Saccharomyces cerevisiae S288C: one gene and its partners. The gene in region 1 interacts genetically with each later gene. Each region holds a gene or a part of one and is shown in the gene's direction. Other genes may lie near its edges. The genes, in order: BUD8, RSR1, TRM2 and GON7.

Region 1 (4,835 bases):
CGAAGTTAAAAAGTTTGAGTATAAAAGGTAATAGTATCCCGATATCTACGCTCGTAGAATTTTTGACACCAATTGATCAAGACCATCCTAATTGTGCTCAAAAATTGAAGTTTTTGAATATTTCTGGTAACTCTTATGTGAATAAATGGACTATTCAGGACTCATTATTGTACACTTGTTCTCCAAGTTTAGTCGCGTTAGAAGTTTCCTTTGACTCGTGGCAACAGATTGAAAAACTAAATGATAGACATGAAATTATTGCATACAGATATAAAAACCCAAATTCGGTAATTAAAGATATTTCAACAGCAGAACAAGTAAAGTGGAAATGTTACATTGATTCTTCTTATGGTAGGAGATATTGGTTATATAAGACTGATCCTTTCCTGAATCGTGATGACTTGGATTCTAAGTCAAATTTAACTAGGTATGATTTTGAGGGTCACAAAATCATAGAAATTATAAACCAGCCGGATTTCCTAAAGTTTGCCCAAAGTAAAATCATGCTTGGATGTGGTCTAGTTCCTCAAAGTGGTATTAGACGTAAACTATGTTACAGAGATTTAAAGCCACCAGTTTCTCAATTCTTAAATAGAAAAGGTGCGATCAGCCTTGGTGATACTCCACTACCAATAATTACCCCAACATTACCTCGTGGTGGGTGGAGAATCATCCATAATGAGGACGACAACAACAGTCATGTGGAAGATAGCCAAAATCACGTGAATGCCATCCCAAGAAGGAATTCTCTGTTGAGCAGACCCACTTTAAGAAGCAACAATGGTTCTTCCTCTGCCAACCCCTTTGCTATCAATGTTTCTCCTGCATCTCAAATCAGGGATGGTTTGTACTGGGATAGGTCGGTCCATGATTTACGTGAGCTATCATTGCAAGAACAAAGAATTCAGGAGTTAGCTGATGAGCAGCAGGAACTAAGAACAATCGCAAACTTTGAAGAGACTGACGACGAATATTTGCACGATCCCGACTTGCAACGGAGAAGGTCCCAACTTCACTTATTTGAAAGTTCGCGCTCACGTTCAGGAAATAAAACAAGACCAAGTTTAACTGGTGAACACTCGTCCTCGGCATCGTTTCTATCCTTCTCCCACTTCAACCACCTTCACAAGCGTAAGAATTATTATTTCACGCATCCCGATGAATTTGTCTATGATCCAAAGGATCCTCTGACGACTCAAAGATATAGATTACATTTTGAAATAGTCAACGAATATCAAGTTTTTGGGTGCATTGAGCGTGGAATGTATAGATACTACAGTTTAAAAGCATAGATATTTTTCTCTTTACTTCCTTACCCTTCCTCCGCTCTCGTCTTGTGTCTTGTATATGATTTCTATATATGGTAAAATATTGCATACATCGTCTACCATTTAGCCAGACTTTTCGGAAACGAATTTAATGATTGCAGCAAATTCCCTTCCCCTATCAACTGATTGAAGAATGCCTCGAAACGCAATGTGATTTTTAAGTTTTCCATTTTTTTTTTTTTCATAAGGGAAGCCTCTCTCCTCCGAAAAAGGTAAACATTGCGAAAAATGATCCAAAAGAGAGAATAAAAAAACAATTAGAAAATGATTTACTCATCCGCTTACTAGAGAGGCCAAACCGGATAGTCCTGACGCTAATAAGAGTAGGATTAAGTTCATTGTGGTGTGTTTTTTTATTGCGCGTAAGCGATACCTGCAAAATTCATTATAATTTTCAATCACCTTCCATCAATTATCAATACCCCATACTAAGAACAGGCAATTGGTTTAGGAAGGAAAATAATAAAGATATCCAAAAACAACTGGAAGCTTTCCAGTCGCGACCTCTGTTTTGTTCGAACTTCTAGTTAACAAAAGAAAGACCATTCAATTGCTTTTTTAATATTCATTATTGACGATTTTTATTTCTAGGCGATTACCGGTATACTTTTCATTCTTTTGATAAGATAATAAATCCAATTACATTCGCTTATTTTAATTCAATTTAGACTATAACTTTCTCTTAACTCTAGGAGTTTCTTTCTTGAATCGAAGCATTTTTGACAATACCCAATATCCTCTTTCTACTTGAGAATTTTTTCGATTCTACATGAAGTATGATACAATCAGACGAAGATAATTTGGACTCTTCTGAAACGACAGCATCAACTTCATATAGTGGTACTTCCTCTGTATCATCCAGACTACAACTAAGAACATCCTTGTTTTTTGAAAATCTTAATGGAGCACATGGGAACCCCGATGCGGAGACAGAGATGGCTACTGTTGCCTATGAAACCACAAGTAGAGGTCAAGGATTTGCTGTATACATCAACAATGAAAGGTTTTCTCAAATAATGGGAGCATCCACAAGCTCTAGCTCTAGTAGCAACTCGTCCTCTATTACACAATTTCACGATACCCAAGATAATAATATACCAAGCAACACTACTGTAAGGCCAACTTCACTTCGACGAGACAACGAGGATACCGTACCGTTAAGGAACGTAACTCCTTCACAAAACGCGGCGGTACGGCCAGAAAGAGCAGTGAATTCACCATCTTCGCAGAGATTAAGTTGCGCACTGACAATATCAACTTCAGTTCTTATGGGAGAAGATGTTGAAGGAAGCCCTATAGAGCAAGAGCATAGTAGGGTCGTATCTTCATTATACTCATCTTTGGCGAATCGCGGGAACGACGAGTCAAAGAATGGAACACCTCCACGTCCTACCTCAATTGAACCTAATGAAACAACGGAACACTCATTTTTCTCATACCATTACGATGACACCTTAGAACCAGATGTTGAAGAGGCAGTGAGGCTAACGAAGAATAAAACTTCTAATGTTAATTTTATAAGCTCAACTGGCAGTAAAGGTGAAGGCGAGACCGAGGATGAAGTCATAGATCAATACGAACCTGTGAATGAATCAAAATTTATACCGCACAAACTAAAAATTCCAGAGAAGGCTGGATCAATAAAGTCGTCGACAAGTGATGATTCGCATTCGCCAGGTGCGCCAGGTACGTCGGCAAGGAAGATTAAAATTCCTCAGAGTCCATCGTTAATTGGTAACATATTGATTCCTTCACACAATAGTGACAGTAGTAACGAAAGTTCTCCTAAAGACCATATAGGGCATAATAATGAAGAAAAATTCAGTTCAAAATCTACGCGCAAGCCCTCCACATCCCTAGAAGAAGAAGGTCCACCAATTGGACTACCTTCAATTCCCGTATTAAGAAGTGTGTCCGGACCAAGCAAATGGACGAAGACACCTTTACGCTTAGAATCTGGAAATTCAACTAAGTCTGATCCATTTTCACGCTATGAAGGACACAAGACGCCCTCTCCATTGACCAAGATGAACAAGAAGAAAAATAAAACGTTGCCAGAACATGGACAACCCCTCGTGCTAGCTCCAATTAAATCTCAAAGCTCGGAGTCAGACACGGGACAGAACTCCATTATAGAAAAGCCAGCTCGAAGCATACGACGAAAGCAACAAGAAAAAACTGATAATAGGAAAGAAGACAGGCACGATGCTGAAAATATAGACCTGGAGGCGAGAATGCCAATTCAACATATCGATACCGCTTCCATTCATTCGTTTGATTCAGGTCAAAATGGATTCAGGGACGTTTACAGCATCGAAAACATCATTGTGATCCTCCTATGTTGTAGTATAGTGCCGCCATTATTTTTTATTATTGGCTGCAGCTCAAGAAGGAAATTAGTTTCAGACTATAGATTAATGAGGTTGCTTATGAATAAAGAACACCGAGCGGCTTTGCTGCAAGGATTCATATGGGACGTTGATTTAAGGTGGTTCCGGATGTTTTGTCTGATCTTAGGGGCTGCCGAAACAGTGATTGTGATGGCCGGTATTGCTATTGGATTTGGTGTGGGTATAACACGTGAATAAGAAACTGTATCATTCATCAAATAGGATAAAAAATAAAAAACTGTTCTGTCTCGTTAAAGTCATATATATAAATAGGGGATTTTCATTAATTTATATATATAGATATACTTGTGTACATGTACCCGTAAGTATCAAAAGAAACGTGCATAAGGACATGGCCTAAATTAATATTTCCGAGATACTTCCTTAAGCGGTAACTTTCTTTTCAATCAAGTCGAATAGAGTAACAATATCGGCAGAGAATTTTCTGATACCTTCGGACAATTTTTCAGTGGCCATAGCGTCTTCATTCAAGTCGAATCTGAATTTAGATTCGTCGCTGATGTAAGAAATCTTGTCGCCGGCTTCCTTCTTAGCGGAGACAGGGTCCAAAACTCTTGGGAAAGGTTCAGTACTGTTCATCAACTTGTCCAATAAAGCTGGAGAAATTGTTAGATAGTCAACACCAGCCAAGTTTTTGATTTCGTCAGTGCTTCTGAAAGAAGCACCCATAACAATAGTCTTGTAACCGTACTTCTTGTAGTAGTTGTAGATTTTCTTGACGGAAATAACACCTGGGTCGGCTTCACCCTTGTAATCTTTACCAGTGCTGGATTTGTACCAGTCTAGAATTCTACCAACAAATGGGGAAATCAAAGTAACTTGGGCCTCGGCACAGGCAACTGCTTGAACGAAGGAGAATAATAGAGTCAAATTACAGTGGATACCGTCCTTTTCTTCCAATTCTTTGGCAGCTTGAATACCTTCCCAAGTGGAAGCAATTTTAATAAGGACTCTTTCCTTGGAGACACCTTCTTGTTCAAACAATTTAATGATATGTCTAGCCTTTTCAATGGTAGCTTGAGTGTCAAAAGACAATCTAGCATCAACTTCGGTGGAGACTCTGCCTGGAACAATCTTTAAGATCTCCTTACCGAAT
Region 2 (3,862 bases), on another chromosome or scaffold:
CCAAGGGTGCCCGTTTCTTACCTGCTCCACACCGGCCGGAAAAATATAAAGAGAGATTCTTTACTGCCACTGGTGGCATTGCTTCAGCTAAATTAGACGAATCTGAGGAGTTAGGTGATGTGAACAATGACTCTGCAAGGTTGTTCGTGGATGGCGCTTTCGACCCGGTGGAAAATATATCAAGGTTAAGCGAGTTGTACTACTTAAATGATCCTAAGTACCCCGGTACAAAGTTCACTGTGCCTGTTCTGTGGGATTCTAAAACAAGGAAAATTGTTAACAATGAGAGTGGCGATATCATAAGAATTTTGAACAGTGGCGTGTTTGATGAATTTATCCAAAGCGAAGAAACGAACGTGATTGATCTAGTTCCGCATGATTTAATAGACGAGATTGATAAGAACATCAAATGGGTTCATCCGAAGATTAATCTTGGTGTCTATAAAGTCGGATTAGCAGAAAACGGAAAGATTTACGAAACTGAAGTAAAAACACTGTTTGAAAACTTGCAGAAGATGGAATGTGTACTAAAAGAAAATTATAAGCGCTTAGAGGAGCAATTCAGTGGTAACAAACAGAAAATCTTGGCTAAATATTTTGTTTTAGGACAGAGGTTAACTGAAGCGGATATCAGATTGTATCCATCAATAATTAGATTTGACGTCGTGTACGTGCAGCACTTCAAATGCAATTTGAAAACTATAAGGGATGGTTTCCCGTACCTTCATTTGTGGTTGATTAATCTATACTGGAATTACGCAGAGTTTAGATTTACTACAGATTTTAATCATATTAAGCTCTTTTACATCAGGATGGAAGTAAGTAGGAACAAGATCAATCAGTTTGGTATAGTGCCATTAGGCCCAAAGCCTGACATTTCTAGATTATGAAAACTTCTAATATTTTCTTACACACACATATATTTATATGCATGGCTATACTTCAAAAGAGGTTGTCACTTCCATTTCCATGTAGGTAAAACTCGTGTATAGACGGAACACAGACTTCCCTAGTTTTATTGACTTCATAGTCTCTGCACCATTCAATTATGTCTCTGTAAAAGAGACTCTTCTTTATATCGCCCTTTTCTATATTCTCCATCTCCAGTTCTTTGAAGCATTTTGCTTTTCTCGATTTATGACAACCACACGGTTTTACACTCTCCTCTCCATGTTCTACCATTTCATGCCTCCAGTCAAAAAATGGTTGACTGTATTCCCTACTTGAATCCATACTTGATTCAACAAGGTAGTTTCTCGAATTCTCAGGTAGTACTGCCACCCTCCTTAAACGTTTCTCTCTTTGTCTTGCTTCCTTTCTTTGTTCTATTTTTGGCGGAATGGTAAATTTCACAGGATTCTTGGATCCATTCTCATTTTCATTCAAGGCATTTAAGTCCAAGGAAAATAACCGTATGCTCACGTTGGACCCTTCAAACGTGAAACTATCTTCACTCAATATACTTCCTACACCGCATTGTTCCTCGTTACTACTTGAATCCTGTATATCTGAGAGAGAGGTAAAAAATGAGTAGGTATCTCTTTCCCCCTCACATTCGTAAGTGCCGACTTCTTTATTCAAACAGGCCTTTCCCATTTCTCAAAGACCTCTTTTCGTAACCTATTTAGTAATGATGAAAAGTATTAAACAGTATTTTCAAGATAAGAATTTTATTATTTTGTACCATTTACGATACACATAAACCCCAGAAAAAAACAACTTTATGGGAAAAGGCGAATAGTACTCATAATATACAAGGTAAAAGCAGGCGTATCTCAGTCATACAGTTCAATAGAGAAAGGCATTTTTGGAATATCATACATTTTATCTAGCAAGTGGAAACAGACTGTATATTCCCAAGAATCATCGCCTTTTTATCACAACGTCAGCCTCACAACTAATTCGCGTCAAAGCGCATTCATCCTCGACATTCTCAAACGCGAAATATCGTCGAAAAAGGTTAAAAAGAAAAGAGAGAAGGACAGAAAAAGAAAAAAGTAAAGTAGAGCTCGATCTCGAAAAAAAGAACCATTGCGTTCGTTCTTAACTACGCCAAGAAGTTTTTGAAATTTCATCCTCTCCACTGAACAATAATACTATTATTTAGTAACGATATAGAACATTTACATACAACGTTCTAATATTTTGGCTTCTATCATCGCTTAGAAATATTTGGCTAGGAAACATTAGGACTAATGAGAGACTATAAATTAGTAGTATTGGGTGCTGGTGGTGTCGGTAAATCCTGCTTAACCGTGCAGTTTGTACAGGGAGTTTATTTGGATACGTATGATCCAACGATCGAAGATTCTTACAGGAAAACCATCGAGATCGATAACAAGGTATTCGACCTGGAAATTTTAGATACAGCGGGTATAGCACAATTTACTGCAATGAGAGAATTATACATAAAGTCAGGAATGGGGTTCCTGTTGGTATATTCAGTAACAGATCGGCAATCTTTGGAAGAATTAATGGAGCTAAGAGAACAGGTCCTTAGGATCAAAGATTCCGATCGCGTTCCAATGGTTCTAATAGGTAACAAGGCTGATCTAATCAATGAAAGGGTAATAAGTGTGGAAGAAGGTATAGAGGTAAGCAGTAAATGGGGTAGAGTTCCCTTTTATGAAACAAGCGCTTTGTTGAGGAGCAATGTGGATGAAGTGTTCGTTGATTTAGTTAGGCAAATCATTCGGAATGAAATGGAAAGTGTTGCAGTTAAAGACGCAAGAAATCAAAGTCAACAATTTAGCAAAATCGAGTCTCCATCAACCAGGCTCCCTAGTTCTGCGAAACAGGATACGAAACAATCAAACAATAAGCAATCATCAAAAGGTTTATATAACAAATCTTCACAAGGACAAGCTAAAGTTAAACAATCTACTCCGGTTAATGAAAAGCACAAACCGTCACATGCCGTTCCGAAATCTGGTTCTAGCAACAGGACAGGAATTAGCGCTACTTCACAACAAAAGAAAAAGAAGAAAAACGCTTCCACTTGCACTATTCTATAGTCACTTAATTTTATTATAAATGAATCAAGATATCAGATAAAAAGACTTTACTTGAAATAGTTTTATTATAGTTCTAAAAGGTTTAGTTTAAAGTATTAGCATACGTTGTATAAGTTTTTAAAGAAATCAATTAATAATGTTTGAAAATAAATTTAAACCCAAAAAAAATGAAATGTTAAAAATATGGACGCAACCGGAATCGAACCGATGACCTCTTCCTTGCAAGGGAAGCGCGCTACCAACTGCGCCATGTGCCCGCAATCTATGGGATTTTACGGTAGATGCTGCGTTACGTATAAAAAATATTAAATGAACAGATCCACACTCTCGTAACTAAAGCTCACACTGTAGTTTCTTATAGTTTATGTTGATTGATATAATTAATTCAGAGGGTCTTTAGTCTCAGATATACTTCGCAATTACTTAAAAGAGTAATCGTTAATGTTTTCCCTCCAACATAGTCGTTATCGTTTAGCGTGCGTTATCAAGTTTCAACGATGACAAAATGATTGATTAATTAGTCCATTTTTCTTTCCTATCTAGTAAAATCAAAGTGTTTCTTCTCAACCTGAGATCTAACTCACTGTATTGATATTGAAAATCTGAGTAGTCTTCTAAAAAGCACAGAAATTAGGCCGATGTTTTCGACTTCATATCTCGTCGTGAGGCTGTTTCGCACGCCTTTTATTTGTTTAGATCGGACATTTAGGGTGATTCATATCAGGTCATATTGCGGCATCTCATCTCAAGAATAAAATAGAATTACTGTGTTTGACAATGGTCTATCGTCCACTGATGGAACAAAAGTCGGGAGCAATTCTTGTAAATGGAAGAATACAAAATGGCCA
Region 3 (4,811 bases), on another chromosome or scaffold:
ACAAACAACGTGTCGAACTCTCTCCCATCCAATAATCCCAAAAAAAATTGAAACCGTTCAAGGTATTGACAATGTAGATAATCAATGAATGCTTGCTCATTCTCTTTGGGAGAATTCTTTATACCCGTTACAGTAGCTGCAACAAATTCTATCAGCTCATTAGCAAGTCTTGCCTCATTCTTGCACATTGCCTAAAAAACGTTTTGACGTACTTTCCAATTTAAGCTCTGAACGAGTATTATTGCCCTTCTATGTTCTATGCTTTCTGTTAATTTTTATATGTAATGTTTGTTTACCTTTCATTAGCTTATTTATTAGAATCCGTACAATGCGACCTTCCGCGCATCAATTCGGGATGATCTGATTAAGTAGTTATAGCCTTACGTTAAGACGACAAAAGACATGATAAGCATCCCTCAAAAGTTACAGCAAACTTAAGTCAAATAGGTCCAAAAATCTCCAATAGTAACGCTTTTTCATGAATACACTATTATTTAAGCGAAAAGGTGGCAATTGTGGGAACGAAAGTAACATAGTTTCGCAGGGATCGCCCTCAAGTAGCAATCTTCCTGAATCACCTGGCACTTTAGATGAAAAGAATCTTCCCAGATTGCCTACTCCATTCGCTAGAAGCCTTTCTACCATTCCTAGTTATGAGCAGATGAAACGTACAAACAAACTGCCAGATTATCACCTAAAGATTGTTGTTGTGGGAGATGGCGCTGTAGGGAAGACGTGCCTGCTGATATCTTATGTCCAAGGAACATTTCCGACTGATTATATTCCTACTATTTTCGAAAATTATGTCACAAACATAGAAGGACCCAACGGTCAAATTATAGAATTGGCATTATGGGACACTGCCGGCCAAGAAGAGTATAGTAGACTTAGACCGCTTTCATATACGAATGCAGATGTGCTGATGGTGTGCTATTCTGTTGGTAGTAAGACATCGCTTAAAAATGTGGAAGATCTCTGGTTCCCAGAGGTTAAGCATTTTTGTCCTTCCACTCCAATCATGCTAGTCGGCCTTAAATCAGATCTATATGAAGCTGATAACCTTTCAGATCTGGTGGAACCAAGTTCAGCAGAATCCTTGGCCAAGCGTCTGGGGGCATTTGCACATATTCAATGCTCAGCACGATTGAAAGAAAATATCGATGAAGTATTTGAAACTGCCATACACACGTTACTTTCCGATTCATTATATGCTCCCAGAGAGCCTACACATACAATCAAAAATCCCTTTAAAAGAAATACCACCAGATCAGATATCGATTCTTCTACTGGAGATACCAGCGTCTCTATTTCCGGAACGAAAAGATTAAGAAAAAACAAGTGTATTATAATGTAAGAATAATGATGAAGATTATTCTGTTGCCCATTCTGTACGCACTTACAACATTTGAAAAGTGGCAAGAAAAAATACACACATTTTACTATCTTCCGCTATCTTATTTATCAAGACGAAACAATTAGAACCTGATTTAATTTAACTTCCATTTTTCTGAATCTGGTGTGATATACCGCTCCAATATATTCGAATTTATCCCAATTTTATCATAATAATTCATTTTAATTCGATGTCATAAAGTACTAATTCGATATTAATCTAGCCTAATTACATTAAATACTTAATAAAAGCTTCTGTGACATAAAAGTACAAATCTGTCATTTTATTTTAGAGGAATAGTTTAGGACAAAGTCATTATGTACGAACAGTTTGAATTTTCTTTTTTTTTCTTCGAAAATTCAGACAATAAGGTTAAATATAAAGCTCATCTCATCTCATCGATAAAACGCTGGAGTATTATCACATGCATGCGTTGCTTTTGGACCGTACAGAAGTCTATATTTAAAGCTAGGTTTTTCGCTTGCAGAAACTTTGTCAAGAAGCATAATTATAAACTAATCAGCACCATGACTGGAAGTACTGAAATGGTACCACCAACAATGAAACATACCGTTGACAACAAAAGGCTTTCGTCTCCTTTGACAGATTCTGGTAACCGCCGGACTAAGAAGCCAAAGTTGAGAAAGTACAAGGCCAAAAAGGTTGAAACAACTTCTCCGATGGGTGTCCTAGAATTTGAAGTGAACGATTTGTTAAAATCTCAAAATTTGTCCAGGGAGCAGGTTCTGAACGATGTTACTTCAATTCTAAATGATAAGTCCTCAACAGATGGACCTATCGTCTTACAATATCACCGAGAGGTAAAAAATGTCAAGGTCTTAGAAATTACTTCCAATGGCAACGGGTTGGCTTTGATCGATAATCCTGTTGAAACAGAAAAGAAGCAAGTTGTTATCATACCGTTTGGCCTGCCCGGTGATGTAGTTAATATCAAAGTCTTTAAGACCCACCCTTACTATGTCGAGAGTGATTTATTAGACGTAGTGGAAAAATCTCCAATGAGAAGAGATGATTTAATTAGGGATAAATATTTCGGGAAATCTTCAGGAAGTCAATTAGAGTTCTTAACTTACGATGACCAACTAGAATTGAAAAGAAAAACAATTATGAATGCCTACAAGTTCTTCGCACCAAGGTTAGTTGCTGAAAAACTTTTACCCCCATTTGACACCACCGTAGCTTCCCCTTTACAATTTGGCTACAGGACCAAAATTACGCCTCATTTCGATATGCCAAAAAGAAAACAAAAGGAACTATCAGTAAGGCCTCCTTTAGGATTTGGTCAAAAGGGTAGACCTCAATGGAGAAAAGATACTTTGGATATCGGCGGACATGGTTCGATATTAGATATCGATGAATGTGTGCTTGCAACTGAAGTTCTCAACAAAGGATTGACTAATGAAAGAAGAAAGTTTGAGCAAGAGTTTAAAAACTACAAAAAAGGCGCGACTATTTTACTGAGAGAGAATACCACTATTTTAGACCCTTCCAAACCAACTTTAGAACAGTTAACCGAAGAAGCCTCTAGGGATGAAAATGGTGATATAAGTTATGTCGAAGTCGAAGACAAAAAGAACAATGTCAGGCTGGCTAAAACTTGCGTTACCAATCCTAGACAAATTGTCACTGAATATGTTGATGGATATACTTTTAATTTTAGTGCGGGTGAGTTTTTTCAAAATAATAACTCTATCCTGCCAATAGTGACCAAGTATGTCCGTGATAACTTGCAAGCTCCCGCTAAAGGTGATGATAATAAAACAAAGTTTCTAGTAGATGCTTATTGTGGATCAGGTCTTTTCAGTATATGCAGCTCCAAGGGCGTAGATAAAGTGATTGGTGTAGAAATTTCCGCTGACAGTGTCTCTTTTGCAGAAAAAAATGCAAAGGCAAATGGTGTTGAAAACTGTAGATTCATCGTTGGAAAGGCTGAGAAACTCTTTGAGTCTATTGATACTCCAAGTGAAAACACTTCCGTTATCTTGGATCCACCACGCAAGGGCTGTGACGAATTATTCCTAAAGCAATTAGCCGCATATAATCCAGCCAAGATTATTTACATATCGTGTAATGTCCATTCCCAGGCACGTGATGTCGAGTACTTCCTCAAAGAAACAGAAAACGGTTCCGCCCACCAGATTGAAAGCATAAGAGGATTTGATTTCTTTCCACAAACGCACCACGTTGAGAGTGTGTGTATAATGAAGAGAATCTAATTGCACATATAAAATATCTATCACTATGTATATCTTTCTAGAGTAAATGTCTTCCTGTACTTTTAAATCCGTACATTTTGAAAATTGAAAATGTATCTCAGATTCATTTTTCAATTCGAAATGAACGAAAATTACACTAAAAAGGTAACGTGTAGAGTGATATTATGCACAACGATTTTTTGAAAATTTCATATACGTTATTCTAATGTTTAGTAGAGAGTTTAGCGGAAGATATAAGGTGATCAGGCGTAAATTAACCACATACAAACCATAGAAACATCATACCAAAATGGAAAACGATAAGGGCCAATTAGTATGTTCGAGAAATCTATAAGATTTTTTATATTTTAACGGATGAATGGAAAGTGCATGGCTGTTTAAATAAATGTAAGAAAGATATCATAATGCAAACAAAACGTAGGCATCCGCAATGTATGGAAAACATACTTATGGTTACCGATAATAAGCAACTCCGAAGGTGCCATAGACCAGCTCTGAATGCAGCCTACAAAAGTTGAGCAATTTCTGACAAAATTCTTCGATTACTTTCTTCACATGTATTAAATCATCACTCACCACCACCAACAATGTGTTTTTTAAACTAGCATAACTAACAAAGATTTGTTTTACATCAGGTCGAACTTTACGTTCCAAGAAAATGTTCTGCTACCAACAGAATCATCAAGGCTGATGACCACGCATCTGTTCAAATCAACGTCGCTAAGGTTGATGAAGAAGGACGTGCTATCCCAGGTGAGTACGTTACCTACGCTTTGTCCGGTTACGTTAGATCCAGAGGTGAATCTGATGATTCTTTGAACCGTTTGGCTCAAAACGATGGTTTGTTAAAGAACGTCTGGTCTTACTCACGTTAAGAGAAAAGAAAAAGAGGATTCGATTTAAGCTTCATATCGTTCAGACTAATAGGTAACTGACGATTTTTCTCTTCATTACCAACTTTTCACCATATGTTCTAATTCGTCGGATTTTCGATGAAGCGTTTTAGGTACTCTATAGGTATTTAGGTTATAATAATATATTGTATTTTTAGACAACCGGAACCTGTTTAATTTGAAGAGTCATTGTATTCTTGGCTATTCTGTTTAAAGTTTTGCAGTGTGGAGTCCCTGAGAAACCCCCGAGCAAAAAAAAGACCCCAAAACCCCGTAAATATTACTACT
Region 4 (3,208 bases), on another chromosome or scaffold:
TACACTCCAAAGGAGAGACAGGAGCATTTCCTGAAACATGTTCCCTTACATGATCTGGACGGCACGATGCCAGACTTGAGCTCTGAATCAGGCCAGATGGTGATTGATAAGATTCGCCATTTCAACACTCTATTACTGGCGCTATACTATAATGTTTATGGGCCTACCTGGTATTATAAGATGATTTCTCAAGGCACTGCCGGTGAAGGTGACAAAGACACTTTCGTCGCTGCTGCCCATGCCTTGAATATGCCATACTATCAAGTGAGGACTAACTTTGAATTTGATGGTTTCTTCTATCAAAAAGATGATTACAAGGGTCTCGCCTTGCTCCAGCATGATTTTGAACAAGATTACAAGCAATACCAAAAGGCGCAGCAGAAAGTTAAAGCCAACATTGAGGAATTTTCCAAACTGGATCCAGATTATACTTTGGACAATGGTTTCTTGAAAACTTTGATGGTTAATGATGACGGTTCTGATTTGGATATCATGTTCATTCATGCCAGTTTCTACAAGGCAGATCCATGGACTCTTTATCATGAAAACAGATTTATCGGTCCAAATGGCGAACAAGTACGGGGCTTCAGGAAGCCGCATCGCTATGGAATGGATTTTGAATTGTTTTTATTCAATGATATGAGGGGGTCCTTCTGTACCACTCCGAAAAGCCAAGTTATTAAATTCAAGTATTTTACCGATAAAGTTAATACCCCAGAATGGGATGCAATGTGTGAGTATTTGACCAATCATGTTAATTATCTGGAGAGCACACACAAAGAAGCTATGGGGGAGAAAAACTAATGAAGTGATTAACTATAATAATTTAATAATAACTCGCCATCCGACCTTGTATAATATAATGTAGCATATATGTGCACGGATATATATACATCTTAGAAAAAAATGAAAAAATGAAACCAAGAAAAAACTAACTGATGGTGTTCGGACAACGTTTTAGAATGAGGGTATCTAACTTTCTTCTACCATTCTCTGTCCAAAAACCTAGAAAGTAAAGTCCAGCCAAACCAAGATGTGTTTTCCAACGACGAAGACGCTGCGCTTGGTGAACGGTTTAATGTTTCTCCAGTGCTCTCATCTGTAAATCGTGACCGCGATGACGAATCTATATCTACGTCTGACAACCTGTCGAATTCAAGAGGCATCGAGTAGTAATTGAAAATAAAGTCACGCTGGGGGAAAAAAGATGGTATATCGTCAAATATTCTTTCATGATGGTATGTCAATAATTGCCGGCGAGTTTTCTCGCGGTAGCATGTTCTTAGAATTGGATACAAGTCTCTTGATAGTTTCTGCACAGCAATTCTTTGGGCATTTGTAAGTTTCTTTAATTTCGCAGAGGTATAAAGTTCTCTTTCCTTAAAGGAATAAACGGGAAATCCATGATTGACACCGTCGCTTGATTGAGGGACATTTTGATGCAGCTCATTAAATAAATGGCTGCCCAAACACCACTCATCGATCCGGTCAGAGTTACTAGACGATCGAATGTTACGAAGAGCGGGCGCCGGCTGCTCTGAGGGCGGAGAATTTTTATTGCTGTCACTGGATATCGACAGTATAGCAATTTCGTCAGAAGGAACTTCGAAGGCACTACTTGCAGATTCCAGTGTCTCATCGCGACTAATGGCAGTATTTGTACATTCTGGAGATAAATCTGGGTTATTGATAACCCTTACATCATTGAATGACTTTAATCTATGGAAGTCTAGCTCAAATTCCTCTTCTGAGAGTTCCAGGACTTCAAATAGCGATTCTTCATCGTGAATGCCGTTATTAATTCTGGGTTGAATGCGAGCAGACCTTGACCCGCAATCAACCTGGTAATTGTTCACAGATGCCATTAATGAGCTGTACTGACCACCAAATTTTAGTATTTTAAGCCCTGAATACAACCTTTGCTCCTTGTCGACATTCGTAAGTATATAGAAATCTATCCCTTCAAAAGATTTGTATTATTCGGGATTACGCTACAGCCGCACGTAGATCGTACGTGTATAACGATGTTTATCTTGGTGAAAGTATCTTAACGCGAATGCTCTAGTGATGGCACAATAGAATAGTGTCTTAGCACCACAGAGCGTGATTTTTTAAAGCTCTATATTAGCAACTACGATAGGTGTTTATTTAGTTTCTTTGTTGATCTTCCTGTTTCCAGTGTTACGGCCTTGTCAGGTCAAAAATTTTACCCGGATCTCTAGTAATGAGTAACTTAAGAATATCCCATCTGATTATTGGTAGTTTTACTGAACCAAGTTAGAGCTAAATAAATATATACAGCCGATAGTGCACTGGAACCTTATCCTAATATCTCAATGAAACTACCGGTAGCACAGTACAGTGCACCAGATGGTGTGGAAAAAAGTTTTGCACCAATACGCGATGACCCTCGATACATGACCACAGAGGGAAGGACAACTGGGCCCAGTGACCATGTGCTAAACGCTGGCCAAATCGATAGAGACAAACCTTCAGAACCGGAACGCACGAAAGATGGCTCACAACTGACATACTTAGGCCAGCTGCGCACGCAGCTGACGGGGCTACAGGACGATATTAACGAGTTTTTGACAGGAAGAATGGAATTGGCAAAAAATAAGAAGAAAGCCGGCGCAGACGAGAAGCGGATCCAGGAAGAGATTAACCAGCTATTAGATGGTGGTGACGGTGACGAAGATGCTGTTTAGGCAACGATATGTAGCGCTAGAGAGTGTATATACAAACAGAAAAGAGTCTAATGATAAATGACAAATATTTCGTTACAAGTGATAATTGTTGAACTAGGAAGAGTTGATATAAAAAAATAATAAACACACGATGGGATACAGTTAAGAAGGATTGATCGACTCCTAAATGATGCGAAGAAAGCCAATTTTCAACTTGGAATCATCCTGCCGGTTTGTTGTTGGTGTTAGCTGTGTTAGGACTCGTTAAAATGGCAATCAAACCAAGAACGAAGGGCAAAACGTACTCCTCAAGATCGGTGGGTTCGCAGTGGTTCAACAGGCTTGGTTTCAAGCAGAACAAGTACGGAACTTGTAAATTTTTGTCGATAATAACGGCCTTTGTTTTTATCCTCTATTTCTTCTCCAATCGCTTCTATCCAATTTCTCGTTCCGCCGGTGCATCATATTCTCCATCCCATGGGCTGTATATTAACGAAATTCCTGCCTCCAGCCGGTTGATT

What was found.
Region 2: of BUD8 (region 1) and RSR1, a mutation in one rescues a mutant of the other (synthetic rescue), as found in Saccharomyces cerevisiae (one study listed by BioGRID).
Region 3: mutations in BUD8 (region 1) and TRM2 together harm fitness more than expected from each alone (negative genetic interaction), as found in Saccharomyces cerevisiae (2 studies listed by BioGRID).
Region 4: of BUD8 (region 1) and GON7, changing one suppresses a phenotype caused by changing the other (phenotypic suppression), as found in Saccharomyces cerevisiae (one study listed by BioGRID).

The regions. Positions count from the first base shown.
Region 1 is NC_001144.5:832,248-837,082, forward strand, and holds BUD8 (Bud8p), read left to right. Parts: upstream 1-2,104; coding exon 2,105-3,916; downstream 3,917-4,835. Other genes in the region: LUG1 (Lug1p), read left to right, coding at 1-1,292; sedoheptulose-7-phosphate:D-glyceraldehyde-3-phosphate transaldolase TAL1, read right to left, coding at 4,103-4,835. UniProt on the Saccharomyces cerevisiae protein: Involved in positioning the distal bud pole signal.
Region 2 is NC_001139.9:793,826-797,687, reverse strand, and holds RSR1 (Ras family GTPase RSR1), read left to right. Parts: upstream 1-2,195; coding exon 2,196-3,014; downstream 3,015-3,862. Other genes in the region: GTO1 (omega-class glutathione transferase), read left to right, coding at 1-890; YGR153W (uncharacterized protein), read right to left, coding at 943-1,596. UniProt on the Saccharomyces cerevisiae protein: Ras-related protein which binds GDP/GTP and possesses intrinsic GTPase activity. Involved in development of cell polarity during the cell division cycle, and essential for bud emergence.
Region 3 is NC_001143.9:547,738-552,548, forward strand, and holds TRM2 (tRNA (uracil(54)-C(5))-methyltransferase), read left to right. Parts: upstream 1-1,710; coding exon 1,711-3,630; downstream 3,631-4,811. Other genes in the region: DYN1 (dynein heavy chain), read right to left, coding at 1-188; Rho family GTPase RHO4, read left to right, coding at 479-1,354; 40S ribosomal protein eS21 RPS21A, read left to right, coding at 3,920-3,943, 4,266-4,505. UniProt on the Saccharomyces cerevisiae protein: Catalyzes the formation of 5-methyl-uridine at position 54 (m5U54) in all tRNA. May also have a role in tRNA stabilization or maturation.
Region 4 is NC_001142.9:81,112-84,319, forward strand, and holds GON7 (chromatin DNA-binding EKC/KEOPS complex subunit GON7), read left to right. Parts: upstream 1-2,336; coding exon 2,337-2,708; downstream 2,709-3,208. Other genes in the region: alpha-1,2-mannosyltransferase MNN5, read left to right, coding at 1-804; ATG36 (Atg36p), read right to left, coding at 984-1,865; MNN11 (alpha-1,6-mannosyltransferase), read left to right, coding at 2,957-3,208. UniProt on the Saccharomyces cerevisiae protein: Component of the EKC/KEOPS complex that is required for the formation of a threonylcarbamoyl group on adenosine at position 37 (t(6)A37) in tRNAs that read codons beginning with adenine.